Linked DNA regions of Drosophila melanogaster. The protein of the gene in region 2 interacts with the protein of the main gene of each other region in a pairwise test. Each region holds a gene or a part of one and is shown on either strand. Other genes may lie near its edges.

Region 1 (8,147 bases), 4.8 Mb from region 2:
CAATTGAGAGAAAGCCGCTTTGGCTTTCGGCTAGTTTCGACCCACCGAGAAGCCAGACCCCAAACAGCCGCAGAAACTCGAAAATAGAAGGAAGTCCTCTCAAGTTACGAGCACGTCGAGAAAAATCTGACTTAGGCATGGAAAAATACTAGAATATGATATGATACAGTAAAAACTACCTATTTTGTGATTTTATAGGTAATTTAGAAGATTAGGAATGATGAATGTATGTTGAATGAATTAGTGTATTAGACTTTACTAAAATATATTTATAATAAGATGGTACAGCCGGAATTAGGAACACCCATATTTCATCCCATTTTCTGGCACAAGATGAAGGCAAATAAAAGGACAAAAGAAATTACCTCAATTACTGGGGCTAATTTGTGCCATGAAGAATCAAAACAAAAGCTTGTAGCTATTTGCTCGGCTAATTACGCAAATCAAGAGCTCGTCGCGGTTAATGAAATAAGTACTGAATAAATTTGCCCACGGCAAACCGCGGACAGCTAGGTATTCATTTCCACGACCATTTGCATTGGTGTCATGCTGCGGCGGAAGCGGACGGCCATGTTTTTAGAAGTGGGTGCGGTGCTTCGGGTCACTCCTGCTCCCATTTTGGACCCTCGTAGACCTCCAATCAGCCCCGGGCTGTCAAATGGGGAGGATATTTAGGGGGGGTTGATGCATTTGTTATTTAGCTTTTAATGAATTGTTTGCGGTTCTCGCTTTGGGCTCCTTTCGCCCCGGCTCACCCATCATAATTCCGCGACTTGGGATCCCTTTGTCCTTGGCATCATAGAGCATGAAGGCATAGAATGGGCTGTGCAATTGAGTTGTTTAACATGGCGTCGAACATCGGTTTCTGGTTGGCTATGAGTTTCGGCTTTGATGTCCCCGAGCCATCCGTGGGGCTTTCTTTGTGTCGAGATCCAAGCGAAAGTTCAAAGTGATGTGAACCGTGTGGCTGGGGTTAAGTTAAGCAACGAGTGGAGTATTAACCAATTCAAATGTTATTACCCGCACTTTTCATACGATTGTCGCATTAGCGAAATTGATTTAAATAAATCTATTTAAATTTGTGTGGCCAACCGATCTGTGAGCCCTAAAACCGCTTAGGAATCGCTCATGCATGAAAGATTTGCACACGCTAATTGGTCCATCCCGTGCGGGATCGCCCCTTCCGAAATTCCGTACTCCCCTTCCGATACCAGGAATTTATGTTACATTGTTGACATTTAACGGTACGGGTTTTCGAGCAGTTTTCGAGGGGTTCTCGAACGGTTTTCGAGGCATACTCGACCTGGCCGCAAAAGTAGGCAAAATATTAAACACTCGAATGGGCAGCGAAGTTTGCTTTTGTCATTAAACGGGATTATTAGCAATAGTCTAGTGCCTGGGGAGCGGCTTAGGCTATGTCCCACTGATCTGAGGCGACTAAACAAAGTAACCGAAAATGGTGACATTTGTGAAGAGCATGATATTGGTTTTTTGCTATTATTTCATCTTTTGTCGATTTGCCACCATGGGAAGCCCCGCCAAATGACACGTGACCGGCGAATCCGAGAGGTTGGGGTGAAGTCAAGCCGCAGACTCAGATTGGATGCATCCGATGGTCTGCAGAATATGTTTTGATTAAATTGCGACCATAGAAGTTCCCACCACAACATCGCGATAAGGAATCAAAGGCATTTCACCACTAAACACTAATCCCCTCAGCGCCGAAAATCAGTTGCAGATGAAGAGATATGTTATGGGATTGGTTAGGTCCTCAATTGCCATTGCGATTGCAATTGGATTGTAATTACTCTATGTATACCTTACTCTGTATGTGTATGTGTGTGTGTAATTATAATGTCATCGTCTGCTTTTTGCGTCATCCTGGGAGAAAAGGACAATGCAGGAGCACCCTTTCCGTTCGCCGTTGCCCATTGTTTCCAGTCCACTCACAAGCATATCGGGTTACACCTCTTCAATGGTTTTTTCCTGCTATCTGGCTGCGCAACTTTTTCGAATCCCCCGCTCGCTCGCCCAACTGAATCGTAATTAAGTACAGGCTGCAGAGAAAGCCCAGCGACTAATTAAAAACGTAAGCGCAACTGTCAAAATAAGCCGAGCTCCGCCGGGAGAAAGTCGGCTCAAACTATTAAACGATCACTCAGCAATGTTGCTGTGCTCATACTCGTATTCATATCCCCCCGGCATTAATCATTCTGGCCGATGATGATCAACTGATAAGCCAGTCACATAGGCAGCCACACGTCAGCTGGGCTAGCGCCAAACAGCAGGAGGCGACACTTTGTCCAGGACGAGGTCCTTAATTGGGGTAACCACGCACGGGCCACAGTCCAGTTGACTGGGACAGTAGCGACCCTCGGCCACAGAACCTGCCCACCAGCCCGACTTTCCTTATCGAGACGATCAGCGACGCGGGCACGCGTAAATGAAATGAAAATGATCGTTATTAAAAAGTTCGAGGACTAAAACGTCTGGGGGAGTCCCCCTCCCATTCTCTCGTAAAATAAAAGTGCAACTTATAAATTCTCTTGGTTGTTTTTTTTTTTTTTTAATTCAACACATGCGTTAATCGAGCTGCCTGGAAATTCGATCGCTGACTCAAAAAGCCGGCTAAGTGGGGTTAATATGCCAGCGTTTATGATATGAATGAAATGAATAAAAAACGCATTTGCACTGAGACAAATTTAAATTGAATCAATGGAATATGTTGCAAGAGAAATAAGCTCTTTAATGAATAGTACCTAAATAAATATAGATTTATGTAGGTGTACATTTTTCGAGTGCTATTTTTCACAATTAAATTTTACAAAATCCGTTAATATTAGCTCGGACTTGTTTATTTCCAGTGCACATTGTGTATCAATAAGTTGCATTCGCACAACAAACAGCTGTAGAAACGTACCAGTTTTTGTGGGTCAGCTTGGAGGGACTGAGGGTTCATTCATTCGAAAGGACCACGTTTTGCATACGATACTGGAGCATTGTCAGTCCGTCAATCAGCCGGACAGTCGGTTACATTCATTCCCGAAGCGGTGCATTAAATTTCATCTAACAAATGTTATGTAACTCGATAGTCTGGCCAAATTGCAGGGCAAAAATGGTTTAGACCTTTTCTGCATATATTCGAGGTCAGCTAGCGTCCAGTGCAACTAAAAACGGTTCCATTGGATTTGCTTTATCTGTCTGGCATCTGGAATTTGGAATCGTTAGATTCTCGGAGCACAATGGCATGGTACTTTAGCCATTTGCATCTTCACCCACTTAATGTCTCGTGTAACGTTTGCCCAACAATTTTCGGTCTTATCGACCATCTCCCGGCTACCATCTCAGTCCGTCTCCATCCCATTTCTCCTCTTTGTGCACTTCCTGCGAAGAGATTTGTGTCACCTTGCCTTGTCTTCCCCTAGGACGATTATACAAAATTGGCCCAACCCGAGGGCGAACAAGTGGAATGGCAGCCTCTTTGGGTTTTGGGCTCATTGAGGCAAGGCTTGACTTTTTGGTTTCAGTTCGCCGGCGAACGTCCTAATCTGGGTCGCCTACACTGAGCAATAAATGGGTATGGTACTTAAGACGAGTGATTTTTATTATTACAAAAAAAGGTATTCAATGGGAAATCCTTGGGCATATGAAATTATACTCATTTAATTTCAGTAATTATAGGGTTAAAATTTGAATGAAATTTTAGTTCGAGTTTGTATTTTTTTAAAATATCTTGCGGATCAAAATTAGGCGGAATAGCTGAATATCGTCAGAAGTAACTAATTATATATGACAGATGGATGGACTAAATTTTTGCAGATTAAATTGTTAAAATGAATTGAAGTAAAATGTTGACACTAAGATTTTTAAATTTGGCGACTTCATATTTACAAGATTAATCACATTTGAAATGGGAGGGCTATTTTTGACTAGAGCAAGTCTGGAATGTTTTTTAATTACCTGGACAACATGGCCGCATCCTGTGGACCGCCGGCTCCTGGTTGCGGCAACTGCGGGATCGGAGTGATAAGTCCGGCGGCGCCGTTCTTCTTGGCCGGCTCACTGCGACTCAGGATGCTGGAGATGGAGAAGCTGGTGAATCCGTTGGAGCCGGTGGTGCTCTTGCCGCCGCCGCCCCCGCTGCTCCCGTTGCTGTCGTTGCTGTTGTTGCTCAGGTTGGCCGCTGCCACCGCTGCTGCTGCCGCCGCTGCGGCCGCCGAGGCGCAAGTGTTGTTGTGATTGAGGGCCTTACTGTTGTTGTTGTTCAGACTGTGTCCTTGCACCTCATCGCCGCCATTCCGCTCCGGACTCTTCATTGGCGGACTAAGGCGCTCGACATGCGACTGCTGGTGTTGCTGCTGCACCTGCAACTGTTGCTGCTGCTGCTGGCCGGTGGGCGTGAGTGCGTGCTGCAGCAGGGCGGGATGTGTGGCCCCGTGGGCGGGATGCAAGTGGCCAAAGGTGTGGAGCGCGTGATGCAGCGCCACCGGATGGCTGCCCAGGCTGCTCAGATGGTGCTGCAGATGATGGTGCAACACCGCCGGCGGCACAGCGCCTCCGCTGGGACTGTGATGGAAGTGATTGCCGCCCGAGGCGGACGTTGTGGGCGTGCCGGCGGCCGTGTTGGGCGTATTGGAGCGATGGGTAGGCGTGGCCGGGGGCGAACTGCCGTCGGCGGAACGGGCCGGCGAGCGGGCCAGCAGCGGACTGTCGCGGGCAGCGGCGCCCAAAGGACTCGGCTCCGGACTGGACACCACACTGATGTCAACTTCGGCCTCGGAGGAAGACATAGCTTGAGATTTTTGCTTAGATTTGCAGTTTAAACGTTTAATTCAGCACTTTTGTTCTTCAACTTGCACTTGTGTGTGTGTTTTTTTTTTTTTGTTTTATATATATTTGTTAGGAAAATAAAGAATTTTCCAAACCTTGTACACTTCAGTCGTGCCACGAAAAACTCGTTAAGGGAAAACGCCGAGCGCTACCGTTGGGAGAAACACGTCTGCACCGTTTGATCAACGTTTCGCATTTGAATTTAAATGCGGCTGTTAACAGACGCAGTCCTGAGTTCTGTGTTCTGAGTCCTTCGTCCTTTCTGTCTCTGTATGTATGCGAGTGCTTGTGTGTGTCTGCGTGTGTGTGTGTGCTTGTGTTTGTGTGTGGCAAAGCGATCGTTTAGTGTTTTTATTGTTTCAGTCTCTGGATTTTTAACCCCCGGTCTCGTGTCCGGAGAGCGTGGAACTGAAACTGAGACTGAGGTGGTTGGCTGGCAGCCCTGCAAATTCTTTTGGTCTTTGCGCTAAATGGTTTTCCGCACTCACACACACACTTGCGTATTTGCTACCCCTCCTGGGAGGGTGTGTCCCACTCTCTCTCTATCGCTCTCGCTGTCCCTCTCTTTCACCGCCTGGTGGCCCACCCCTTCTGCCGCTCTTTTTCATTCCATTTGCAGTTCGGAATTTCTTTTCGTTTATTTCGACAATTGCACTGCAACCGCATCGACAGACACTTTTCGCATTTTCCTCCTTTACTATTTTTTCTCTGCGGTGCTGGTGGAGTGCGCTTTGGTTTTCCTACCCCCCGAATGGGAAACACTTGGCATTTGGAACGCGTCTAAAGTGGGGGCGCACTCGGCTCGACTCGAATCGCTTCGCTCGGCTGGTGTCTATTGAAATGCCAATATAAAATCAATCAATTGCCACCTAACAGGGGTCAAGTGTTGCTCTGTGGCGCCATTGAAATTTCCCAGCCAGCCAGATGCAAACTTTTTCGACCAGAAAAGTGTGTGCCGAAAATGCACCAGTCGATTGCAACCTTGCGGTTAGCAGATTGAGCGGTGAAAGTTTCAACAAATGGGGTTCGGTGATATAGATAAATCATTGAATTGCTAAAATATCGAAAGAAATAAACAAGCAACTTATAAATTATGCAAAGAAAAGTAAAAGAGGTTTTGTGGGTGTTATCAAATGTATAAAATATCAAATGTATTTATTATGTTTGATAACGAAATGGTGAAGAACAACGTTAATCAAAAACGATATTATCAAAAATACGAGGATAGAAGGTATCCTTAAGAAATTAAGTGAAAGATTTTCAACAATTATATTTAAATAATTAAAAATATGTAAGCAATTTCCCAACGTATTAAGTTATATTTAGTATCGTTCATGTCATTGTAATGCATTCCCGTTTCTTCTTTTATTTGGAATCTCTGAGCTTTCTACCTTATAGCATGTTTCATTCCACAGCGTTCCGTTCCCCAAAGAGAAAACCTCCCCCAAAAAGCGAACAGGCGGCCATTTTTGCGAAGGAGCTCTGCAAACTTTGCAGAAAAAGAGCGGGTGAGAGCAAGAAAAAGTTAGAGAGAGAGAGAATGAGAGAGAGGGCAAATTGAATTTTTAAATGCTTTCGCTTTTTATGAGACAACCACGAGGCATTCAAAGAGTGTTGCAAACGATTTGCTCAAAACAAAACAAACATTATGCGAGTCAATTACCCGTCGAAAGAGAGAGACGGCGAGACCGGAGAGAGCACTCTCTTTGGGGGCGTGGCCAGTGGAGGGCCAATGGGGTGACAGCTCCTCGAAATGTCGGAGAACGCTTTTCAGCGACGGGAAAAGCGAGCATAAAAAACACAACCAAACAAATGGGTAACAAACATTTGCAGCTCAGACAGCGACGCCGAAATATGCGTAGAAATTCATGCGCAATTACATTTATCCTGTTTAGAAGATTGCTTTTGCCAAAGTGCGTCTCCACGTGCTGAGGGCAAGGCGCCACCCTTGCACCCGCCCAGCACCCCCATCTGCCACCCACCACCTCCCATTTCCCCTTGGAGGAGCTGTGCATGTGTGTGTGTGTGTGTGTTGACGGAGCCATCACCTGCGTCCGTAACACATTTTTCCGTAATTTCCCTCTGTGCATTGCTTGTTTTTGATTCGTTTTCGTGTAAGACTTTAGAGTGGGATTGGGGGTGTATAAAAAATAAATCCAATGGGGGACGGGGCTTTTCCGGGAAACAATGGAGTGGGGAATTGGAAGAATTCCGGCCACCTCGACGGTTTCAGAAATAGTGACACTTAGGTGGTGCCCCATTTCCATTTCAATCTCAATTCACAAATGGAAATTGCGTTCACTCAGCACCTTCAGATGATTTCATTTGTGTTTCGCTCTGTTCTCGAGGAAATTTCAACTCGGATTTGATTGCGCTCATTTGGGAAAATTGGAAATGCCATCAAAGAGGTTAACTAAAGGTTACACTGAAAAGTAAAGATCTTAAGGCTTTTAAGGATCACTTAAAAATATTATATATTTTAAAAAGTCTGTTGTACATTATATCGAATTAGAAGAATTAAGAGAAATGTGGTAGCTTAAGTAAAACTGAAAGAAAAAAACAGGCACATTATTATAGGAATCTGTGATAATTCAAATACATACCGTAGGAGATCCTTTTGCCTGTGCAGTTTAAAGGATGGACTGAGAAGGAAACTCCCATTAATCTCAATGCCTGACCGCTGGCCAAGGCAAGCCACAAAAATTTGGAAAAGCTCCTTTGCTTGGGAACATTTAAAAGAAATAACAAACTGTTCAACTGTCGGACAAAACGATTTCTACAACAAATTGCACTGCAATAAAAGAGCTAAAGCTGCAATGGAAAGAGATGGACACAGGGGTAGAAAGAGAGAGAGAGAGAGAGAGAGAAGGAGAAAGACAGGAGCCTCTGGCACACACTGCCTGTTTGTGTGTGTGAGCGAAAGGAGATGACATGAGAGGGTGGCTGAGAAGGAGGTCTAATTGACGTACGAGCAAAGTGGGAGTTGCAATTTTCATTGACTCCACTTTAGGATGCACACACACATAGAAACACACACACACACAGACAGACAGACACTCAGCAAAGTTTGCAATGCGAAAGAGAGGGGAATAGGGGCAGTGATAGAGAGGGCAAGCAAGCTGGGCTTAGCTTGCTCGACTTAACTGCAATTAATTTGGCAATTGAAGGTAGTCGAACAAAAACTAACATTATTCCTGCTAAATACCCGAGACACACTCCATTTCAATTTCGGAATTTTCCGAATTTCGATTTTCCAACTCACACACACAAACACATTAGGCAAATGGAGAAGGCTCTTGTCCATCCGTCTGTTGTAG
Region 2 (7,329 bases):
CGTATATAAAGGCAACCACAACACAAAGTAAACACACGCGAAAATCCTAACGAAATAGAGAGATACAACAAAAAGATACGAAAAAAGATACAACCCACGAGAATAACAATGCGCGAAATTCAGGCGTAAGTATGCGAAGGCGAAGGTGTGGGCGCGCGTTGTTTACGTCTAGGAAGTATCTGGTGTCCCCCGAGTATTCGGCTACCTGGTACTGGTGCCTACATAGGCGGGGAATCTGCAAGAGAATCCGAGAACCAGTGGGATTCGAACTGGGACCGAAAACGCGAAAGCGAACGAGAACGTGGCGAGCAAAACACAAAAACCCAAAACGACGCCGAGCCAGCAAATAGTATCTGTGTGAATGAATGGGCCAGCTTTATTGGGGGTGTGTTCGTGTGATTATGCTGCCGTCTGGACATCAGATAATGCGAATTATATTTTGTTTTTGTCTCGTCATGTTGGCCCAGCCGCGCGCGATTTTGCCGCGCTTTGTATCTATCAGATACACTAGCCGAAAAGTATGTGCGGAATGCGCCGTGCTTTCGTATTTCGGATTGTTTTTTGTTTTCCTTCTTTTTTTGTCGAGGTTTCGCGGGCTTCCGCCACTGGACCGCGCTTCAATCGCATCCGGACGGTGTCGAGGTGAGCACACATTCAAATTCTCTAGTCACGAATCTCGGTTGTACGGCGCTCGGCAGTTCTAGTGGAAACATCGGTACCCTTATCATCCGCTGTCTGACATTAGCTACTAGCACCTCCAAAAAGATTGCACTTCACCCCCAGCCAACCGGACAACTAAGTCCCCCACTAAACTTTATGGTGGATAAACCGAAAGCAAAATAAAGAGGCGAGGTTAGATAAAGCTTAGAATAAAGTGTCACTGCGTTGGAATTACGAGCAAAACCCGCGGGCCATCGAAAAAGTCCTTGAATTACATTGAAAACTGGCTTAAATCGCAAACGTTTACTTTTTGGAGTAGTAAAGTCAAGATTAATAGTAAACTTTAAAAAAGTGCTGGTTTAAGTTTAGGCCGTAACACTTCTTATATTATTACTTATTATATTTATGCACTTCATGTATTTATGCAACTTTCAAAAGTATCTCTTTCCCATCCAGCTCCCAATTTATGACGAAAACAAATCGCTTGGTGATTTTGAGGCATGGCGAAAGTGATTTCAACATTGAGAACAAATTCTGCGGTTGGCATGATGCGCCATTGAGTGAATTCGGTGAGATTAGGATTAAAATAGTTTAAAATACCCAGTTAACTTCTTATTTATCTAACAACTAGGCGTCCAGGAGGCCCTGACTGTGGCGATTCCCGCGCTCGTCCAATCCGAGTTGGAATTCGACGTGGTCTATTCATCCGTATTGAGCAGATCTCGTCAAACGGCCGAATTGATACTCTCCAAGTTGAACTGCGCCTATGTGCCCATTAAGGAGGATTGGCGGCTGTGCGAAAGGCACTACGGAAATCTGACTGGTTGCCGGAAACGAGTGGTAGCCGATCGCTATGGGGAGGAGCAGGTTCAGGCCTGGCGACGTGGATACGACTGCGTACCGCCGCCCATCGATGAGAAGAACCGCTACTTCTACACCATTTGCAGCAATCCCATATTCGATGATGTTCCTCGCGGTGAGTTCCCCCTCGCGGAATCCCTTCACATGTGCGTCGATCGAGTGAAACCCGTGTGGAAGGAGGTCAGGCGGGAAGTGTTCCAAGGCACCCGGGTACTAATGTGCGTCCACGGAACTGTGGCCCGTGCTCTCGTCCAGCACATTGAGGGTAAGTTAGATAGGCTTAGCAATAGCTTATGGTTTACATCGATGGTCACTCCGTAGGAATCTCCAACGAGGCCATCGAAAAGGTTAACATTCCAAATTGCGTGCCACGCGTCTATGAGTTCGATTTGAAAACGGGAGGCTTGGTTGGAGCTGCCATCAATCTGGGGGATCAGGAGTATATTAGGCGGAAGACAGCCCAGGTGGCAGCCATTGGTGACTGATTGTGGAGCACTCCTCTCGACTTTTTTGGAATTTACATCGATATGTGGCCGACTGCATTTACTTAAGCCTTTGCCGCTTAAAGTCCGAGAACATCGGCTGATAAGGATATTATGACTACTATTTATTGGTCTACACCATCTGATATTTTCGGCCAAAAATATACAATTTATACAAAATATAATTGATGGAGAAGATTACATATACGTACATAAATATAATAAAAATAAGCTATTTCGTTGTATGACGTCAAATTGGATGCTACACCAAAAAAAAAAAAACATTTTTTCCAAGTGTATAGTTTATTAAATTGTTTTTCTCAAGCTTCGTTACGATCGAAAAGACGATCTAGTAAATGCATTATGTAATACTTTCAGTTGTTGCCACAGCCATTTGCCTGAAGTGCAATTAGTAGTAGCTCTGCTCGTTGTAGAGCGGACCCAAGTTGTTTGGCAGGATGTATATGTCCTCGGGACGACCGTTGAACACGAACGGACGCTTCAGCGATGTCAGCTTGGAGTCCTGCTGAGGAACCGGCATGGAGGCGAGTCCAAAGCTCTGCTGAGAGCCTCCATAACCACCCATCGAAGGCGACGACATGGGTCTGTAGGGATTACTAGGCGTCGGTGGCCGCATTCCATATCCACCGCCACCCAAGCCAGGTGTCAGGGATCCCATCGCCTCACCCGGAGATCCGTTCACTTGGTAGACTCCAGTGGGCTTTCCGTTGGCCAGGAAGTTCACGGGCAAATTGAATACCGAACCGTAGGCGGAGAATGAGGGCATGGGCTGGTAGGTCAGCAGTGGTGAGAATCCACCCCCAAATGGAGCCGTTGGCATATTGGGCAAAAACATATACGGTGTGGGCGGCAGTCTTACGTAGTAGATGGGCGAATTGCGGGCTGATGACGCGTGATTGGCCCCAGGACGCCGACCACCGGAGGCTCGTGACATCACCACATCCTCGAGATCGTTGCTGGCGCCAGAAAAGGCGGGATAGAACATATCCGGAGCCAGGTAGAGTGGGACGGGTATGAGCACTGGCTGGGCATAGCCAATGAAGGGAAGCATCTTGGGCATGGCATCGTAAGGATTGCCCTGAGGTGCGGCATATGGACTCCAGGGATAGTTGGCAGAGTTGGGCAATCGCGACTCCTGTTTCGACTCCTGCATCATCTGGTAGGGATCGTGTTCCTCCTCGTCCTCCGACTTTAGATCCTGCTGCTCGCCCAATGTGTCTTGGACATACTGCTGCGTGTGGATCTGCTGTCCCTGCGACTGTTGTTGTCCCACCTGCAGTCCTGGCTGCGAGGATTGCAACTGCTTCTGTTGGCTCTGCTTCTTCACCAGCTGGGCTAGATTGGCTGCCACAGAGTCGGCCACTAGTTGCTCCAGCACCAGCAGCATTAGTATGATGCTCCACATGTGGTTACCCATTTGATAGCTGTAATTGGATCATGGCATTGGCGGTGAGTATATCTTCTGTCGATCCCCGACTGACCCCAAGCCCCATTCAAGCTGATTTGCATGCTTCGAGCTAGTTTCTCACACTCCAATTGCGCAACCAGCGGATTTTCCCCCACCAGCACAAGTGAACAACGGAAAAAATATGGCCAGTACTTTGGAGCCCCATCGCCGGCCGAGATCGGAGCAAAAAGTATACCCCGAAGTGTGCAGTATCCCCAAGCTAATAATTCATAATTAAATAAAGTAGGCACTTTTGGTTTACTAATATCTACTTATTAAATTGTATTCTACTCTGAAGTAAAGCCGCTGTTTTTCCATTTCTTTGCTTAGTATGTGTTCGCATTCAAAAATTTTTAATTTTTTTCACCTTTTGATCGGCAATTTTAAACAATTACCCTTAATTTTATGTTTGATGTTTTCACACTTTTTCCACAAACACTTTATGTACAAAAATTTACCTGGTCAGTAAGTGAAGATCGGTGATTTCTTAATTTAGCAGAAGAGTCCTAATCGAAATGCTAACGAATCAATTGGCCCACTGGTCGGCAGGCGCGTTCAACTGGAAATGAGTGTGATCGCGGCCAGAATCGACGCTTTATATATGGGGGCCTGGCCAGAATCCCCGCATTCCCGGTTCCCAACTCTCTGCCGACGGCGCCGTCGACGGGAGCTGCGCATGCGCAGCATTGAAGAAGCGAAGTGAAGTGGTTAAGTGTGTGGTAAGCAGAGTGTTTGGGCCATAAGTTTGTTTGCATTTGCTTGGCCTTTCTCAGCGATCTAAGGGCATGATTTTGAGGTTCTGTGGCAAGTGATAAATCGTCTAATTGCCAGCGGCTTAAACGCCGGCTTAATTAGCCCCGACTGTGAATAAACCTGACAGCTGCAAATTATATAAATATCCACATGCACTTGCTGCATTTTGCTAGCCAGCTTGGTGGAATCGCGAGCAATGTTAATTATACCGGCAAAAGGTCTCTCGACTGGTGTAACAAGAGCCCTGCGAGAAACGCCCGCGATTATGCATTTTAATTTTTATGACAGGGCAAAAGAAGACGTCGAGTTTGAGTCGGAGATGGGCTCATTAGTCAATGATATCCGCCCTGCATTCCACATGGCACCTAGCACCAAGCAGATAGCACCTAGTGCCTGCTTAAAGCACCTGCTTCTGCTGATCTAAAGATCTCTTCCCAGTTGCATAATTGAGCATAATTGTGCGATTGCATCGGCGTGCCTACATATTTAGTTAGTGTGCAACTTTATTGTCCGCCTAACGATTACCAGGCAAGAGCCAGTGTAATGCCAGCCAAAGAATCCCAGGCTGGCCAGGAAAAGGAAAAGGGAACAGGAGAGAACAGTCTGTCAAACAGGTCATAATTATGCCAGATACTCCACATACTCCGGTGCAGATAAACCCCTGCAGGCACTATTAATATTCTAATATGAATAATTTGTTTATTTGTCAAAGCCAACGGCACTGGCGCCGGCGTTGAGATTAGAGCAATAATAAATTACGCAGCTAATTAAGCGGCGATTGCAGCAGCAGCAGGAGCAGTAACATCCACGCAGATGCAAAAGATACAGATACATGCCGCAGATTGCGGCAACTGCCGCAACAAGCGACGACAATAACGAACGGTTCGTGTTCTATGTGTGTATTACTATTACCCAACTCAAGGCACTATCCCAGAGTCCAGCTAAGAACCAAGCCCAAATCCAAGCTCAAACACAAACCCAAGCCCGAACCCGAAGTACCCAACTTGGCCAAGCCCCATGCCACACGTAATTAGCCTTGGAATGTCCTTGTGCACGTGACTAGCCCCGCTCCTCGAAGCCTCTGGCGCGAGGATCGCAGTCGCCCTGGTGTGGGGCTAAATATAAAACGCGCGTGCCTGCGGATCATCAAACTTGGCCACTTTCCTAACGAAGCCACGTTAGGTGACAATGTCGTTGATGCACTGCCCGAAAATATTTGAAAGTCAGCATGGCATCTTGTTATGTTAAAATATACGACTATTCAAATTCTGCCTAGCTAGTTGGCCTGACATCAATGAGAAATGGTTTACAATGATCTGTTCCAATTACTACGATATATTTAATATCTAGCTTAGTACATTTTATTTGTGCAGTAAATCATAGTATAGTACTTCCAGTGGATTTGTGCAGTGTAGAATTGGCAGTACTATCTTGGTATCGGTATTCGGAACGTAAACAACTAACAGCTATCAGGCTACAAGGGTTCATTAACACCAACTGACAGCCTGGACACAAACATGGCCCAAACAAAACGCCGTGCTTGCTGGGACCACGGCTGATGGCCATTGCCATTTAAAAAAAGCCAGAAGCTCTCGTATTAAATCATCAGCTTCATCATCACTTTGCTACCGGCACACTCGCTTGAGCATGGCCCATCTAAAGTAAACCACTTTTGTTTTTTACACCAACAGAGAGAGAGATATAAAAAGAAATCGAAGCTAAGACAGAAGATCGGCGGAGAACTGGGTCAGAAGCAGCACGACCGCTGACGAGATTCTGAATTATTAAAAACCCCTCAGGAAGTCGCCCTCCAAACAGACTATGTAAACAAATTACTCAGTATCTAAATACCCTTTATGGAAAAATTTCATCGCGCAATACCTCTGATTCTATTAGTTGGGTTTTAAGCTCTAAAAGAATTGTTTGTCTTAAATACCCTTTAGCTGCACTTGAATACTCACCCCACACGAGCCACACTCAGCTACTTTCTTTAACAGCAAACAAATTTTCAAAAGCCCAATTGCTTGCAGTTCAATTTGACCCAATTATTAAATAAACAGTTGAGAGTTTGCTAAAGCAATTTAACCAGCGGCTGTGATTGGAACTGAGTGTTATCAGTTTAGTTTTTATATTACCTTTAATTAGCTTCAGTTCATAGAGATTCTTGATAAGAAGTTGGATAGGGTTTGACCAGAAATAGTACTTTTCACATCAAAATTTTTCGAAGACGAGGTGGCCGAGAGGTTAAGGCGTTGGACTGCTAATCCAATGTGCTCTGCACGCGTGGGTTCGAATCCCATCCTCGTCGGAAAATATCCTTTTTAAATAAAATTTTGCTTATTGCTTTTATTCTTTTCAGTTTTATTTATTTATTTTATTATTGCTTTCGTTTAAACAAAAGTATATTGATTTTAACCCTAGAAAAGATTAGAAATGTAATTAACATGGAGACCAATAAAATAAATTAAGGATAAAATTAAAAAGAAAAAAAGACAACCGACGAGGATGGGATTCGAACCCACGCGTGCAGAGCACATTGGATTAGCAGTCCAACGCCTTAACCTCTCGGCCACCTCGTCTTATTGGAATTCGCTGTTTTAGATCGTTTTTTCAAAGAGGTATGAAAATATTTTGCATTAATAGACTGCGAATTATGTCCTTAATTTACATACATACCATACTTACCATACATTTTTTAGAAGTTCTTTGATCTTGAAATGCTTTTGCCAATAGAGCTCTTAGATAATTGTATATATTATTTGGGGTTCTTTATTTGTTCTTATAATTGAAATTAAAGTACTAGAAAAATACATGAATACATGCTATAATCTAAGGAAATAGTAAATAAAACTATCATTACAAAACAAAAAAAAGAAGTCGACGAGGATGGGATTCGAACCCACGCGTGCAGAGCACATTGGATTAGCAGTCCAACGCCTTAACCACTCGGCCACCTCGTCAAGTAATTTAGTTGGGCCCAACAGTCCTCTCATTTTAAGCGGGCAGCAATTCGTTGTTATCGACAGCAAGCTGTACATATAAGCATTAGAACAGAACATTGTTATTGCGGTGGCTTTTGAAGTTCATTACCTGCAAAATAAACTA
Region 3 (7,136 bases), on a different chromosome or scaffold from region 2:
AAGCAGGTGACTTTTATGTGTAAATAAGGTTATTGTTTCTACAATATAGTTTTTTTTAAGAAAAACAAACATCAGACCTTTTTGCATTCCAAAATGTACATATATTTCATTCCGAATGTGACCACTACAGTCAAACTACTCAAACAAAGCTCAGTCTGCTTTGGATAAACGTATGGTTATTAACTTTTAGGCGACCACATACCTTGATGAAACATTTCTCCATCGATGTGCAGTCCATCGAGATCTTTGATTATCTGACCCACATCTGGAATGGTTGCGATCGCCTCACGTGCCCGAATCTCTCGCAGAATCACGACCGCCAAAATTAGGCCGATAAACTGAAGCATCATTTTGTTGGAAACTCAACTCGACCGGTTAAGTTGCTATCTAACCGCCGACTGAATTATTTGTTTGGTGAACAGGTGTTTTTATTTATATTCTCAGTTCGTGCTCTTGTATCTTACATCTCTCTCTCTCTCTCGCTCTCTCTTTCGTTTTGCTTCTTTGTCTTGTAATCTCTCTGAGAATAAAGATATAATACCATTGGATTGTTTGCATTTTTTGAGTACTTCCGAGTTCTTTCTATCTATATACCTTTATACATATGTATGTGTATTTAGGTCTAGGTCGCATTAAGTTCTTTGCTTTTGTCGATCCCCTTTCTTTACAGAGCTAAAACAAAAAGTGATTTATCTCGCGAATGATGTATCTCAATAATTTTATTCAAGATTAATCGTCAATTATATTTGACATTTTTCTTATTTAATAATCGAAAATAATCTATTGTTAAATGACCTGGCAAACAATGTATGTACACAATATATTCATACCTGGACAGCTTTCGATTCATTTGTAAATGAATAATGATCATGTAGATTTCGGGGATCATTTAATTGAAATCTAACCATATGAGTTGTAATCGTTGTTATTGTTATTATTGTTGTTGTTATAATTGTTATAGTCGTAGCTGGGTCGTGCAGTAGTGTACGTATTGTAGGGATTGTAATTGTTATACGTGGGATAAGCTCCATTCGATCCATAATATGAATTTGGATTCACGCCCGTACCCGTGCCTGCCCCAATGCCCATTGGCAGGATTATTAAGGGCTCCACAATTATGCTGGTACCACCCATAGTTCCACCTCCCTGGGGCATCATTGGCATCATGGGCATGGCACCTGGCATGTACGGTTGTCCCATATAAGGTTGTCCCATATACGAGGGATAATACGCACGCCCCGGAGATGGTACATTCATTGAAACAGGACCAGGATACGGCAGCGCTCCTGGCATTGGCATTGGTCCTGGCATGGGACGCATTGGAATCTGACGTGCCGATCGATTGTGAAATTGTGGTAGTGTTGCATCAGAATCCATTTCGGAATCCGTCATCGTTTCCCCCAGAGAAGCTGACAAATATATGTATTAGCTATTAATTTTAGGAACGACAAATTTGAAAGTAATGAAATAATGTTCGGAAGGAGTCCATCCGGTGCTGAGTAGCTTTGAATTTTTTTTAACCAGTATCGAAGATCTTAGGAAGATCCACCCGAAAAGGGTAAGTTAATATTGTAATTATAGGTACTATAACTGGGTGGGTACGGATTGTAAAATGATGGAAGTGAGTTCCCAGCGGAACGTCCATTATAGTTCATATACGTTGGATAGGACATCCCTACTGAGAAGTGGAGCCAAGGATTGGCCGAATTGGGTTGTCCTTGCATGGCATATTGCCGGTTGGCCTGGTATTGAATTGCGTACTGTGGGTTGGGCTGAGGTGGAATCACATATTGTGGTGCAACTTGACGCGGCTGCTGCATTTGAAACGGTGGGCGAGGTGGTGGATACCCGGGTGGCATTGAAGCTGGCATCCCCACAGGCTGATAAGGCATTTGTGGCGTTCGCCGGAAACGGTGCAAAACTGGCGAAGATATAGAAACGAAAAAAAAAGGTTGATAATAGATTCTATATTTATTATTTGCACATAACTAAAGCTCCTGGTCTTTTAGCCAGCTAATGTGAGGTAGATTAAATAGTTATTGGTTGATGAGGGATTGGCTGATCTAGACAGGGGGTATCCATATTGACCATATGAACTTGACCGCACACTGGGATAGCAGTTATAGTAGCATGGTGGAGTGGGAGGAACTAATTGTGGCCCATTGGCCGATCGCTGCTGCGTATAAGAAGGCAATCCTGCTCCCGAATTCGGATAACGGGGATAAGTACAGGAATATGGGTAGAGCGGACTGATGGTACAGGGAGGACTTTGTCCTCGATTTAGCCAAGGATTTGGCTGTTGAGGTTGCTGGGAACCATCTTGAACAATAACCAAAACATTAGCCTGCCGTTGGCCTGCATGGGTGGCAAATGTATCGGAGTTACTGAAATCGCTCAGCAGTTTAAAGTCACTGTTCCTATTATTCCGATTGCGACTCGTGGAAGTGCTGGGTATGATGATGCTGTTTCGGGTGTTGGCAGTGGTCTGTGTAGTGTCGATGATGAAATCGCTGGCCAGCTGATCTGAAACGGATCAGTTGAAAAGGACCAGATTTCAGTGTGAACCGATGAAAAAACAAAATTTTACGAACCTGATTGGCACTCCGGATAGGTTCCACATTGTTCTCCTTCTTGCTGATTTGGGTTTTCGCAGGGAACTCTGGATACAATGCATTTTTTACCAGATATACAGGCAATATCCTCACAACTAAGTCCAAATTCTGTATTGATAGTGGGGAATTTTTTAGATTTTATCCCTTATCCTGTTCGCTGACTTACTTCTGTATCCTTGGACAACAATCGTCGTGGCTAATATCAAATATATACCAACAAGTTCCATTTTCTCTTGTAAAATTCCGAAACTAACTAAATTCATTTCCCTAAATCCCTCATATTTATATCATTTTGATATTTCATGGTTGATGAGTTGCGGTAATGATTATTTGCAAAATTAAATCACCGAAATATGATGATTATTGTTCTGACTCTTTCTAACATAAATAAAAGTTCATTAAACAGCGCTAATTGAATATTTTTGTATGGCTGTTTAAATGCAGTACATTAAAACTTACACGATTAATAAGTTACTGCCTAAATATTTCAGCAGTAGGTTAGCCGAATAGAACTATCTATTAAACGGTCTCTGAACTACGCCTTGAACAGGGGTAAATAAACATTGCTTAACAAAATAACACACACTTTCAGCCTTGATAGATATTACTGATTAATTAAAACGAAGTTTAACCGCATTGTTGAATCCGCAACAATTCTAAGTGAATGATTACTCGACCAATATAAATCAATTTTGGTTTCTATCTGCTTCATTTACGGTTTTTGCCTTTTGTTTACCCCCTAAAAAGTCCATTATAATTATTAACCAAGCAGGCGTATACTTCATACGTTCTGCGACGATTGTGTTGCGATAAGATAAACAAAGGGAACCGCACAAGTAATACAAGGTATTTCCTTAGCTTCGATAAGAAAATGTGAAAGTCACTGCCATTGGGACTTCGATTCGGGCCAAGGGACTGCCTCTTGGGCTACTGGAACAGCAGAAAAAATTAAGGCTTTTGGAAACGTGCGGCACGTGAGCAAATAATCCAATGGCTGGGTAAATAAATAGCTCTACCCCGGCCATAAACGATAACGTCAAGCATTTGATAACCTTACTCTTATCAATATGTCCAACATGCAATAAACTCCAAAGAGAACAAAAGCTAAACGTGATTTCACTGTTTTATGGCCCATGAGAACTTAATTTAAACGTGCCTTTAAGCATTTTCCTAAGGGCTACCCTTCAATAAAAACCTGTTTTCTTTAAGATAGTCTTTTTATTGGTTTTAAATTAAGAAATTCGTTTTTTTTTTTGGAAATTGCACACCCACAAAATCTGATATTAAACACCCAGGACTCCATCGACAAACAGGTCTTGTAAAGGTAGGTCTTTCACCACTGCAGTAAAGTCCTCCACAGTACAGGCATATGAATAGCCCTTCTTTAGGTCCTCTTTGGTCCAACTGACCCAACTCAGTTGGGCGCCAATATCCTGGCAGATGATGTACTCCTCTTCGATTTGCTCAATGGTGGCATGTGGGTTGTTAACTCCAAGTAGCACGATGCCATTTCTGCTCTCGCGATCGATAATCACGCGGAAGTACAACTTTGGCACTGGAATCAGACCATTGTTGTTTTCATCAAAGTCCAAATAGAGCTCCCTTCCAATGCCATTTACATCCGGCAGGGTGGACACACCCCATGTGCCCGTATAGCAATCCACTGTGATGTTTTCATCCGCCACAAACTTTCTCACACTGTCCTCGATTCGTTCCCAGTTTCCGCCATTAAAGGTCTGCCACTGAGGTGCCGCATTCACAAAGAAGAAGCTCGCCTTTTGAGCGGCCCCAAAGACAAAGTCGGTCTTTGCAGAAAGGTGACCCCGAGCCAGATAGACATTACCAGTGGTGTTGAAGTATGGTGAGGCATCCATGCCCAAAATCTCGGAAACCGTGATATTCTGTTGAACTTGGGTGTACAAAGTGTTCACATCCTTGCCTCCGTAAAAGTCGCCGGGTATAAAGGATGGCCTGGATACAGATCGCTGATATTGGTCACTTCCGGGGTACAAAACATGATGCACATAGCGGGTGACTTCGCTCAGTTCATCGTGACACACGTCATAGGTCTGCAGGAAGTCGTCGCTCGAGGAGGATGACAGCTGAAAGCCCACTTCAAGCAGATCAGTACCACCATTGCAGGGACGACCAGAGCGACGAGCAGTGTATGTTGGCCAGGAAGTGCAGACAAAGTCCTGCAGCTGATACAAACTGCCCATTGCCAGGATGCTCTGCTGTTGCCAGCATGTTGAATTGACGAAGGTATAACCAGAGAAGGGTCCACTGAAAGAATTGATGCAGTGGAACTCAAGGGCTTCTCCATGTTTTAGCTGAACTACTCCTTCTTGATTCGGTTCCAAATATCTCGCATGACCCAATTCACTCCTGACTACAAATAAAGGAGCCGGATCCTTAAGATCACCGTTCACTTTAAAGCTGCACACTTCATTGTCCAAGATTTGATCAGTCAAACCAAGAATTCCTGTTGTTTGCAGTTGATCTGTGGGCAAATCCTTAACCACTTCGATGAAATCTTCTACAGAGCACGCATAGGAGTAGCCCTTCTGCAGGTTTGCTTTGTCCCAGTCCAACCAATCGATTTGCGCTCCCACATCCTCACAGATCACATAATCCTCGAGGGTCTCCGTCAATGTTATATGTGGATTGTTGACCACAATTAGAACTACTCCCTTGCGACTTTCCTGATCGATAACAATGCGATAGAGGATCTTAGCTACTGGCAGTTGTTTGGTCTCGGCATTCAGATACAGAGGTGTCTGGACACCTTGTGAATTGGGTAGAGTTGAGATATCATAGCTGCCGGCATGTACACTCACATTAAGTGCCTCATCCGCCACAAATTGCTTCAAACTGGATTCCACTGCAAGCCAATTTCCAATATTGATGCTTCTCCATTGAGGAACTGCGTTCACATAAAAGTGGGTGGCTCTCTGGGCGGAACTATGGACGAAATCAAGACGAGCTGCCAGCTGTCCTCTGGTCAAATAGAGATCCTTAGTGCTGTCAAAGTACTGACTGGCATCTAATCCCAGGGCCGTACTAAATGCATCCAGCTGGTGTGATTGGTCATATAGAACATTGACATCTTCGCCGCTATAGAAGTCACCTCGAAGATAGCCCGGTTGAGCAACACCCTTTTGGTAGGCCACATTGGCCGGAGTCAGTTCATAGCGAGCGTATCTGGAGATCTGCTCCTGCTGATCGTAGCAGAGCTCAACATGGCTAAGAAAACCGGCAGCCACATCGAAGCCGATGTGCACCACATCCGTACCACCAGCGCAAGATTGTCCCGATCGGACTGCCGCATATGTGGGCCAACTCTGGCAGACGAATCCTCGAATATTGACCAGCTGTCCTTCGGCCTCGTACAATTGATCACCAACACAACGAGCGCTCAGAGCTGTATACCTATTAAATGGTGATACCAGAGCTCCAGTGCAGTGCAGATCAATGGAGGATCCTTCTTCCACGGTGTAAAGCCCACTTTCATCGGGCAGCAGCCAGCTGAGAGCTCCTTGCGGTGTTAGTAGTGGAGCAGGATCCTTGAGATCACCATTTGTACTAAACCTACAGGGATTGGCAATGGGATTGGCAGTAGTCACCGGAGGACTTGAAGTAGAGGTAGACGTTGGAGATGTTGAAGTTGATTCTTCGGTTGATAAAGTTGGTTGTGAAGTGGTAGAGGAAGATGTAGTTGAAGTAGGTTCCAGAGTGGTAGACGAGCTTGGTTCTGTTGTGGATGTAACTGTGGAGGTAGGTGGTTCAGTGGTGGGTGTAACTGTGGAGGTGGGTGGTTCAGTGGTGGATGTAACTGTGGAAGTGGGTTGCTCAGTGGTGGATGCAACTGTGGAGGTTGGTGGTTTAGTGGTGGATGTAACTGTGGAGGTTGGTGGTTCAGTGGTGGATATAACTGTGGAGGTTGGTAGTTCAGTGGTGGGTGAAGCGGTAGATGAGCTTGGCTCTTCGGTGGTAGAAGAAACGCTAGTGGAACTAGGTGTAGTATCAGTGGTTGATGGAATTTCGGTGCTTGTAGTTGAGCTCGGCTCTTCAGTAGTTGTGGAACTTTCGGTTGTCGAAGGCTCAACAGTGGTCACGTCGTCCAATCCAAGGATACCATTTGTGTGCAGGTCCTCCAGCGGCAAGTCCTTAACCACTTCAATGAAATCCTCGACAGAGCAAGCATAGGAATAACCCTCGTGCAGATCTTCTTTGTACCAAGTTAGCCAGCTTAGCTGATGGCCAATATCCTGGCACAGTATGTAGTCCTTTTGGATTTGCTCCAGTGTTAGATAGGGATTATTAATGCCTATTAGCACAATGCCTTCGCGAGTCACCCGATCGATGACCACACGGAAATAAATCTTGGGCACTGGGATCAGGCCATTGTTGTTCTCATCGAAGTCCAGATATAGCTCCCTCTCAATGCCATCCACATCGGGAAGGGTTGAAACACCCCAAGTGCCTGTATAGCAATCAGTGGTTAGATTACGATCTGCCACGAAT
Region 4 (7,842 bases), 1.4 Mb from region 2:
TTTACAAATACAATTCTAAAGAAAATTTGGACGTTTTTATGAACTCACCGTCACTATATTGCCAGAAGCTTAGATGGTCTTCTGCGTTGCCCGAGTGGGCTAGTATGTCTTTTACAATTACGCTGATCTGATCTTTATCCGTTGATTTGGGTGGAGGCGATGGGTGTACGTCCTGACCGACAGCGTCTTTGCAGTACACCGCTTCTGGCACCTTTTCCAAGGAAACGGACTGCTTAAGGGAACTCGCCGGCTTCACAGTCTGCATCTGCTGATCTACCATTGCGCCAGACAATAACGATGACCCCGAGCCAGAGTCCATCAGAGTGGGCGCCTGGTACAGGCACAAGGTACTATTGTCATCCAGAGCTGTGTCCAGATCTGTGTGCTGTGTTAGTGTCGAGTTTGAGTCCTTTTTTATAAAAACCGATCTTTTCCATCCATCCATCACATTCTCCATGGTGTCAGGATGGATGATGGGAATGGCGTATTTGCGCTTGCATACCTTATCGCTGTTGGCCCCCAGTTGCGGTGCTGTTGTTACTGACGGAGTTGGAAGCGAGGTGGTTGAAAAACCACTGGCCACCGCGGGAACTCCAGTCACACTTGGGACACTAGGTAAGGTGGTGGCGCTGTTGCTCTGCAAGTGCGGAGCAAATGTGTGCAGCCCGCCTGGTGGTTGGGGTGGCGGCGCCTGCATTCCAGCCGGAGCCAAAATAGGGGTCGTCATCCCGGCGGGCGGTCCCAATGCCAAACTGGGAATGCCAAAGTTGTGCGGCAGATGATGAAAAGCAGCAGCTCCGTTCAGTGCACCGCTGCGCGAGTTCATCATTGGAGCCACATTTGTCGGAGCGGGACGTTGGGCATTTCCTGGGGCCATGGTATATGCGGTAAAGTAGTTGGTATGTTGGGCGGTGGGAGTAGATCTTTGCCCTCCGCGCATATTGCCGCGATGTGTATTGGCACCACTAACCACGTTGTTTCCAGCAGAGTTTTGAGCGTTCGGCCCAAGTTGGTAGTAAGCTAGTGTCGGCGTTTGAGCAGCTCCCGGTGCCCCGCCTGGACCTTGTTGTTGAGCAGTGGGAGGAAGCTGTTTCTGTTGTGGAGGAGGTGGCGCAGCCGCATAGAATGAAGCTCCAGCCGCTCCGTTAGTGGGAAAGGTCACAGCTGGCTGCATGCCCATCAGAGGTCCGGTCTGATTAATTGGTATATAGGTGGCGGAAATGTAGGGTCCACCCGCATTTCCGCCGGCAGGTGCGATCAGGCCAGCTGATTGTTGAAAGTGGGGTGGTAGAGTTGGGTTGCTCAGGGCACGAGGCATGTTTGACCCCGGCGCCACGCCATTTGCTCCACCATGGTGACCACCAGTAAGAGGATGTCCCAACGTGTTGGAACTGGCGGCGGCGCTCAGTTGGAGGGTAGCGCCGCCGCCGTTGGCACTGTTGTTAACCGCCGCGGAATGCGCGGCGTAGGACGGCTGGGTATTGTAGAAGATGACCGGCTGGTGGTGCGCCTGGGCCTGGGCTTGCACCTGCTGCTGTTGTTGCTGTTGGATGTGTTGCTGAAGATGAGCGGCGGCGACGGCTGCTTGTTGTTGGTGTTGCTGCTGCTGCTGTTGCAGTAAGTGCTGCTGCTGGTGGTGGTGCAGGCCGCTGTGGTTCGGGACGAACACTGCGTGGGACTGCTGCTGCTCCTGCTGTTGCTGGAGGTGATGGTGGTGCGAGTGCGTCGCCTGGTGATGCTGGGCTTGATGGTTGTGGTTCTGCTGATGTGTCGACTGTGGCCTGGTTCCCTTCCCACCCCCTCCCTGTTGAGGGAACATAGGAGGACCTTCGAAGGATCTGCACACGCATACAATCGCACCGTCACACGCACAGGCACACACGGAGAGTTAGGAAAACCGCGGCCAGAGCAAAACAGATGTACAAATCGTAATGTTAGTAAGATGGAAATGAAAGTGAAAATGGAGTTGGCGATGTGGAAAATGCTTGGCGTATTAGGTTTTCAGTCAAAGCCGTGAGTACATGCGAATGAGAGTTAAATCAAACGTGTGCAAAAGCAACCAAAAATGATCATGCAAATTATGTGTTTACATCTTATGACTAAGGGCTATTTTACAAATGCACTCCCTCTTTTACCCTTTTCTTTATTCTTTAATATTTCAATCAATTGAGCTCTTTAATTGGAATGTGGTGTATGATGTCACTCGCGGGGCGTGTATACATCCAAAATGCTTTCGAAGATGGCTCGACACCTTATCGCGCCGGTTTTATCAATGGACTAGTCACTTGCGCAGCCTAAATACTTGTACATAGGTGACACACGGTAACAAGTGGCGCTATTAGTCAGTACTGGCCTTAAAGCGGAACAAAACAAAGGCAGCCACAAAGAAGCAGCTGCCAGCGAGCGTAGGAGGTGAGCTATGGGCTGCTGTCGTCTTTATGGCTACAACCAGTTTGGCATTCCGTCAGCACTTCCATCGGCACAGTGGAGACCGCAAGAACTAGATCACTTAAAACTGTTTACGATATGATTTCTTTTAGTTATAATACTACCAAACGGAATTTCATTGTTGTTTTGCTAAGCAAGCGTTCAATGCTGATTGATAAGAATATGAAGACAAACATTGGCCAATATTCACTGTGGTGTTCTCTTTGGAGCTCTCTGCTGGCCTAGAAAAACCAACTCCGCTGCAGTTTGCGGCCAAGCACCTTCAAGCCAGAAGAAAACCAGTTTTCCAGCAGACGAAGTACGTGCATGGCTCTTTTCACTCCATGGCGAGGAAAACGAAAACCTGGCTGGCAGATAGGCTCACTTGTTTCATGTTTGTTTGTAAACAAAACCAGTTGGAGTGTGTGGGTGCTGCTCTAAATGGGATCGCGATCGCTTATTGGGAGTGCATTCGTACTGGAGGCAGTGTGTTATAGTAGTAGTAGTGTGTTATTAAACTAATAAACAAACAATTAATGTAAATTGCGTGAAAAAGCAAGCAAATACTAGAATGGGAGTAAGTTGTAAGTCAGATTTCGAAACTTACCGCTTCCTGTGCTTCGATTGGTAGATGTGATGATTATAAGGGTATTCGATTTATCCTATTTCTTAGTTCCTAAGGTAGACCTGCCTTTAAGCCTATCCGGCTTCCCTTGACACCTGGTCAAGCTCTACGCCTCCTCCTGCTGCTGCTTATTTGCTCCTCCGTTCCTTTTTCCTATTTCTCGTGGAAACTCCTCGTCTTTGTGGTTGTTGGCTCTATCCGGAATACTACAATAGCTCAGATATTCCATGTATAAAAATACTCCAATTCACTGTGATGCACATGCACATCTGCATTTGTGCAGACGGACGAGGGGCACGTACACGTACATGCGTACAAATATACAAAATAACGTACGGCTAGTGCTAAAATTTCACGGTAATTTGTTCTGTAATTAAAGGCGTTAGAGGAAGTTAAAACGTATGCTTAAATTTTGCAATTGCGAGGAATCAAAATTACAATATGATGAATATGAACACCAAAGCAGCGCCTGCTACGAATTTATTCCCTCTCCTTGTCCAGCTGAGCAGCCTCAGCCCCGGATTGAGAATGAGAAATGGGCAGCCAAGTGCCAATTCGTAATTTGACACTAATGGCAAGGGGACTTTTTGTAGGTTTTTAACCTTTTTCAGATTTTCAGGTAATACTTTTCCCCGAAAAGGCGAGGCGTTGGTTTATGTTTTTTTACCGTTTTGACTTTTTGCCGTTCGCTCTTTTTTTGCGCTCTCTCTGTCTCTGTCTGGCCGCCAGTACTTACCGTTCTGCTCCTGCTCGCTAGCACGCTCTCTCGCTCGCACTCCACACACAAAACTGAGGAAGGAAACAAAAAAAAATGCAGTTCCACGCGGGGAACACGCCAAAAAGTTGCTCTGGCACTGCGCCTTTACATTAGTGCATCGTCTGCTTCACCTCGTTATGTATACACGGCTCACTATCTGTTACAAACAATTTTGTAATGTAAATAGTCTGCAGAAACACGTCCGTTTCGTTTGATGAAATAAGAGTGACCGTTGCACGTAGGGATGGAACATAACTCGATGGCGGCAGCATCGATGTCTACGCAGCGAATATCGATTGTGAAAGTTCCAGAAATATCCCGCAGGAATATTATACATTTTAGTGCGTCCTCAAACCGGGGTGGAGAACTTGGATTCAAGCTTGGCGCGTAATATTTTGAACGTTCTTCATCATAAGAATAATCATTCTTTCGAAATAGAAAAATAGGCCTTATGCAGGTGTTATAATAACAATTATTATATAATGCGCATTGTGGTGCATGACGCAGAATATCATATAAATTCCACACATATTTCGCTGTTATTATTGTTTATTCTAACTTTACATTTTAATTTGAATGATATATTCATAATTTACGCATTCGTAGGACAGCATATGCGCAGAATCCTGTTTCCATTCCATTCGCAACTTCCGGATTGCCTCCCCTTAATGCTCTTAGACTACCCCTCGTGCAGAAATTGCAGTGTTTACGCGCTTGTAGTAAAAGTTTTGCTCTTTCTGTTTTGCCGGATGCGCAACGCCCTCCACTTCCCACATAATCCTTTACTCTGCGCCCTCACCTCCCTCTAGTATCCGTTTTTCCAATGCTATACCCTTCTCTACTTATTACTCCTTATCTCAGTATACACTATGGCCAAAACTTTAAAGTAAAACGAGTGCAAGAATGAACTCGGAGCCTTATTGCAGCCTAAAAAAATTATATACACATAGAGCCCACAAACAGAGTCTGAAGGGATTATTTGGTGGTTGAAAATGCAAAAAGACTAGACCGCAAATGCAAATATTTTAACTTGGCACAACGAAACCGCATACGGACTGTCCGTATTTTGCATTTTTTTTTTTCCATTTCAGTTGTGAAGTCATTTGCAATGCTTGTTTTCCTGTGCGTACTGTCATGTTTTTGTGGCCTTTGCGGTTGCACTAAAGATAGTGTGAGGACAACAGATGAGTAAATGGACGAGGCTCTTACTTTTTTTCAATAATTTTGCTCTCAGCACAAACATTTTGAATATAACGGTCGCTGAGTGCGCTACCTGAGCGGCAGGTTTTGACAATACAATTCGAAAATGAAATTGCAACACTTTCCGAAATTTGGATCAAAAAGATACGATTTTTAAAGTTTTATTTAAATTTTATACATTTTTCAAAGATAATATCGTCTTACATCTTATTAATTTATTTAAAAGTATACTTATTAATTGAATCCCCCTTAAAAAAAAAGCCTCTGCTTTTTGGTATATTTTGAACCCATAATGATTTAATTTGGTATTTCTTTCAGCACCGCATGGTATCTTTCGGGGACGCGAGTGCAGCCACACCAAAAGCGAATTCCTTTACTCCCGCTGCGGTCACACTAAGTCCGAAGCTTGATTCGCCCTGACGCGCGTAACGCTTTTTTCCCGCATCACTTTCCTCCACTTTGGCGCTGAAAAATTCTGCACAACAAGAAGAGAATGCACCAAACTGAAATTGCAACCGACTGCGACTACTGCACCTGAGCCGGTTACGAAATCAACTCTTATATTACTCATATAATTTTGGCATCCATGTAGAAACGAATAAAAATAGTGCGCGAACTGAAAACCCGTTAAAACGAGAATGGGCATAGCCCAAAATAAAACTTTTTCGTTTCTTTTTTACCGTTTATTTAACACAATCAATTAAAATAAAACCAAACACAAGATTTACTCAAAGTAAATCGCGTATAAGCTCGACTACCATAAATGTTAATGTGAAAATTGTGCAATAATTAGAGAAATTTCTAAAAGAAATTCATAAGTGCGGTATTCGTAAATTGCATTGTTTGCAAATGCAAAAAGCAAATGTTATGCAACTATAAGTTACAAGTTAAAACATACAAAAAGTAAACAGAAAATTAATAACCAACCGACAGTACATACAGATAAATGTATATATATAGCGAAGCAATGTGTGTATATAGAGCACTTTGAGACCTCGAAACAAGGACTTCGCCAAGGACTACGGATTACTACACTTTGCCGCCAAGCTCTTTGGCTGGCTTAAAGGAAACCCACCAAAATTAAGAAAACCTAATCTGAAACAAGGTCGAAGCGCGGAATTCCGAACTCCCACCTAAGCCCCACCCCCGGCCTGGAAGCACCTGTGCCCGAAAAACCAAAACCCCGGGCATTCTCACCCACGCACGCAAGCGCAGGATTCTGGTAACCGTCGAGGCATCCAAAAGTTCGATACGAGTGGAAAAATTTGGGAGCCAACGAAATTACTTTTGCTTTGATTCCGCCTTTTGTTTCAATCGCCCAGCCGAAAATGTGGAGGAAAGCGAGCAGGTTGGTCAGGGAAACCACCTCGTGGAAAACGCGTCGTCAGGGACAAGCGGAAGCCCCATCAGCAGCAGTAGCAACAATAAAACCATCGACAAGGACGAGCACGCCGATTGCCCACGGATTACCCATCATCATCACATGGTCGCAGCTCGCTATTGTTGCTGCTGTTGCAGTGCTCCTGCAATGCCACGTCTGTCAAGGTAAGTGAGTGGCACCCATCCTCCATTCGTGTGTCCCGTGGGTGTCCTTCGAAGTGTCTCTGTGTGGGTGCCAACGGACAGCGAGGGGTCACATATTAGGAGCGGAAAGGTCACCAATTAATACTGCAGAATCGGAAAGAAGACGCATAATAATAGCAGGGAATGCTGGTCTATTTTTATTCCAAATCATTCCAATTCATTTAATAAAAAAAAGTGGAGTTTGTTCAGTAATCCTGGGTGTTTTACAAATCAACTCAAGTTATACTTTATTGACTGCACAGCGCTTCACAATAATTTCCTTTCTGTTTACTATGTGACACTTTAATTAAACATTGCTCATACGACCTGTAGGCCAACTTTAATCCTCTCTTTGAACTTTAAAGATTCACAGGATTTGAACATTTTTAACATTTCGGTAGAATAGCTTCCATGCGAATTGAATTTATTGATGAGGCAGCGTGCAAAACACTTTCGCTTTTTTTTTTTGTTGGCATTCATTAAGAATGCTGAGATAAATGCTATCTTGTGGCTTGTCGGCACATTCACCAGATGGCTCAATAAGTGCCAAAGCCGGATCACAAGTATGACGAATTTGGCCTTAGGCAAGAGTGGTTAAGAGTGAATACTTTAACGAAACCTCAATTAATTCGAGTGCCCCTTTTTTTCGCCAAACCTCAAAACCCTCGAGAGTTGCTCAATCTCAATTGAGGCTTGGCGAGTGCGAACTCAATAAAAGGCCGCATGTATCGCAGATGACTTAAACTCCGGGCCATGATGTACTTTTAATGAGTTTTCAACTGGGAAAGTAGCAAGTTGATGCATCATCTTCATACGTAAAGTTTTTCTTGTAATGCCATAAAAAACTTGGCTTATAGCTGAAAAACAAATGCCTGTACAAGCTATTAGCACCCATCACGAGGCTGTAATTAAAATCGAAAAAAATGTCTTGCAAGATTTATTATACAAAGTACTTGGCAAGACGGCTTTAATGGTTTAAGTTTTTTAAGCAAATACCTCAGTTGTATTTAGGTTTACCTTCAGTTCGTTTTCAGTTTTCATGTCATAGAAAATTAAGGCTATCTTGCAAAGAAAAAATATCCAAAAGATAAATGCCACACGATTTTCAGTGCATAAAGACTCCAATTATATCAATTATCACGTTAGTTTGCTTGCAACATGACACATTGCACGCTTTTAGAATTTAGGCCAAAAATCGTCACAGTCAAGATCATTATTACCAACTCGGCATTCCTTTAAGTAAGTTATAAACAACAAAATTCATTGGCAT

The links.
Region 1: the proteins of CG13857 (region 2) and Hmx interact in a two-hybrid assay, tested with the Drosophila melanogaster proteins (one large-scale study listed by BioGRID).
Region 3: the proteins of CG13857 (region 2) and CG43894 interact in a two-hybrid assay, tested with the Drosophila melanogaster proteins (one large-scale study listed by BioGRID).
Region 4: the proteins of CG13857 (region 2) and eIF4G2 interact in a two-hybrid assay, tested with the Drosophila melanogaster proteins (one large-scale study listed by BioGRID).

Annotation. Positions count from the first base shown.
Region 1 is NT_033777.3:17,556,007-17,564,153, reverse strand, and holds the start of Hmx (H6-like-homeobox), read right to left. Parts: upstream 5,225-8,147; 5' UTR 4,791-5,224; coding exon 3,961-4,790; intron 1-3,960. UniProt on the Drosophila melanogaster protein: Transcription factor involved in specification of neuronal cell types.
Region 2 is NT_033777.3:22,390,078-22,397,406, forward strand, and holds CG13857 (uncharacterized protein), read right to left. Parts: upstream 4,028-7,329; 5' UTR 3,930-4,027; intron 3,449-3,929; 5' UTR 3,442-3,448; coding exon 2,413-3,441; 3' UTR 2,112-2,412; downstream 1-2,111. Other genes in the region: CG7059 (uncharacterized protein), read left to right, coding at 1,117-1,229, 1,292-1,786, 1,843-2,006.
Region 3 is NT_037436.4:12,885,927-12,893,062, reverse strand, and holds CG43894 (uncharacterized protein), read right to left. Parts: upstream 3,294-7,136; 5' UTR 2,840-3,293; coding exon 2,779-2,839; intron 2,721-2,778; coding exon 2,592-2,720; intron 2,524-2,591; coding exon 2,006-2,523; 3' UTR 1,958-2,005; downstream 1-1,957. Other genes in the region: CG14118 (uncharacterized protein), read right to left, coding at 203-350; CG14120 (uncharacterized protein), read right to left, coding at 3,896-7,136.
Region 4 is NT_033777.3:23,815,193-23,823,034, forward strand, and holds the start of eIF4G2 (eukaryotic translation initiation factor 4G2), read right to left. Parts: upstream 4,046-7,842; 5' UTR 3,789-4,045; intron 3,628-3,788; exon of another isoform or gene 3,420-3,627; 5' UTR 3,035-3,419; intron 1,839-3,034; 5' UTR 1,820-1,838; coding exon 49-1,819; intron 1-48. Other genes in the region: CG34355 (uncharacterized protein), read left to right, coding at 6,338-6,554.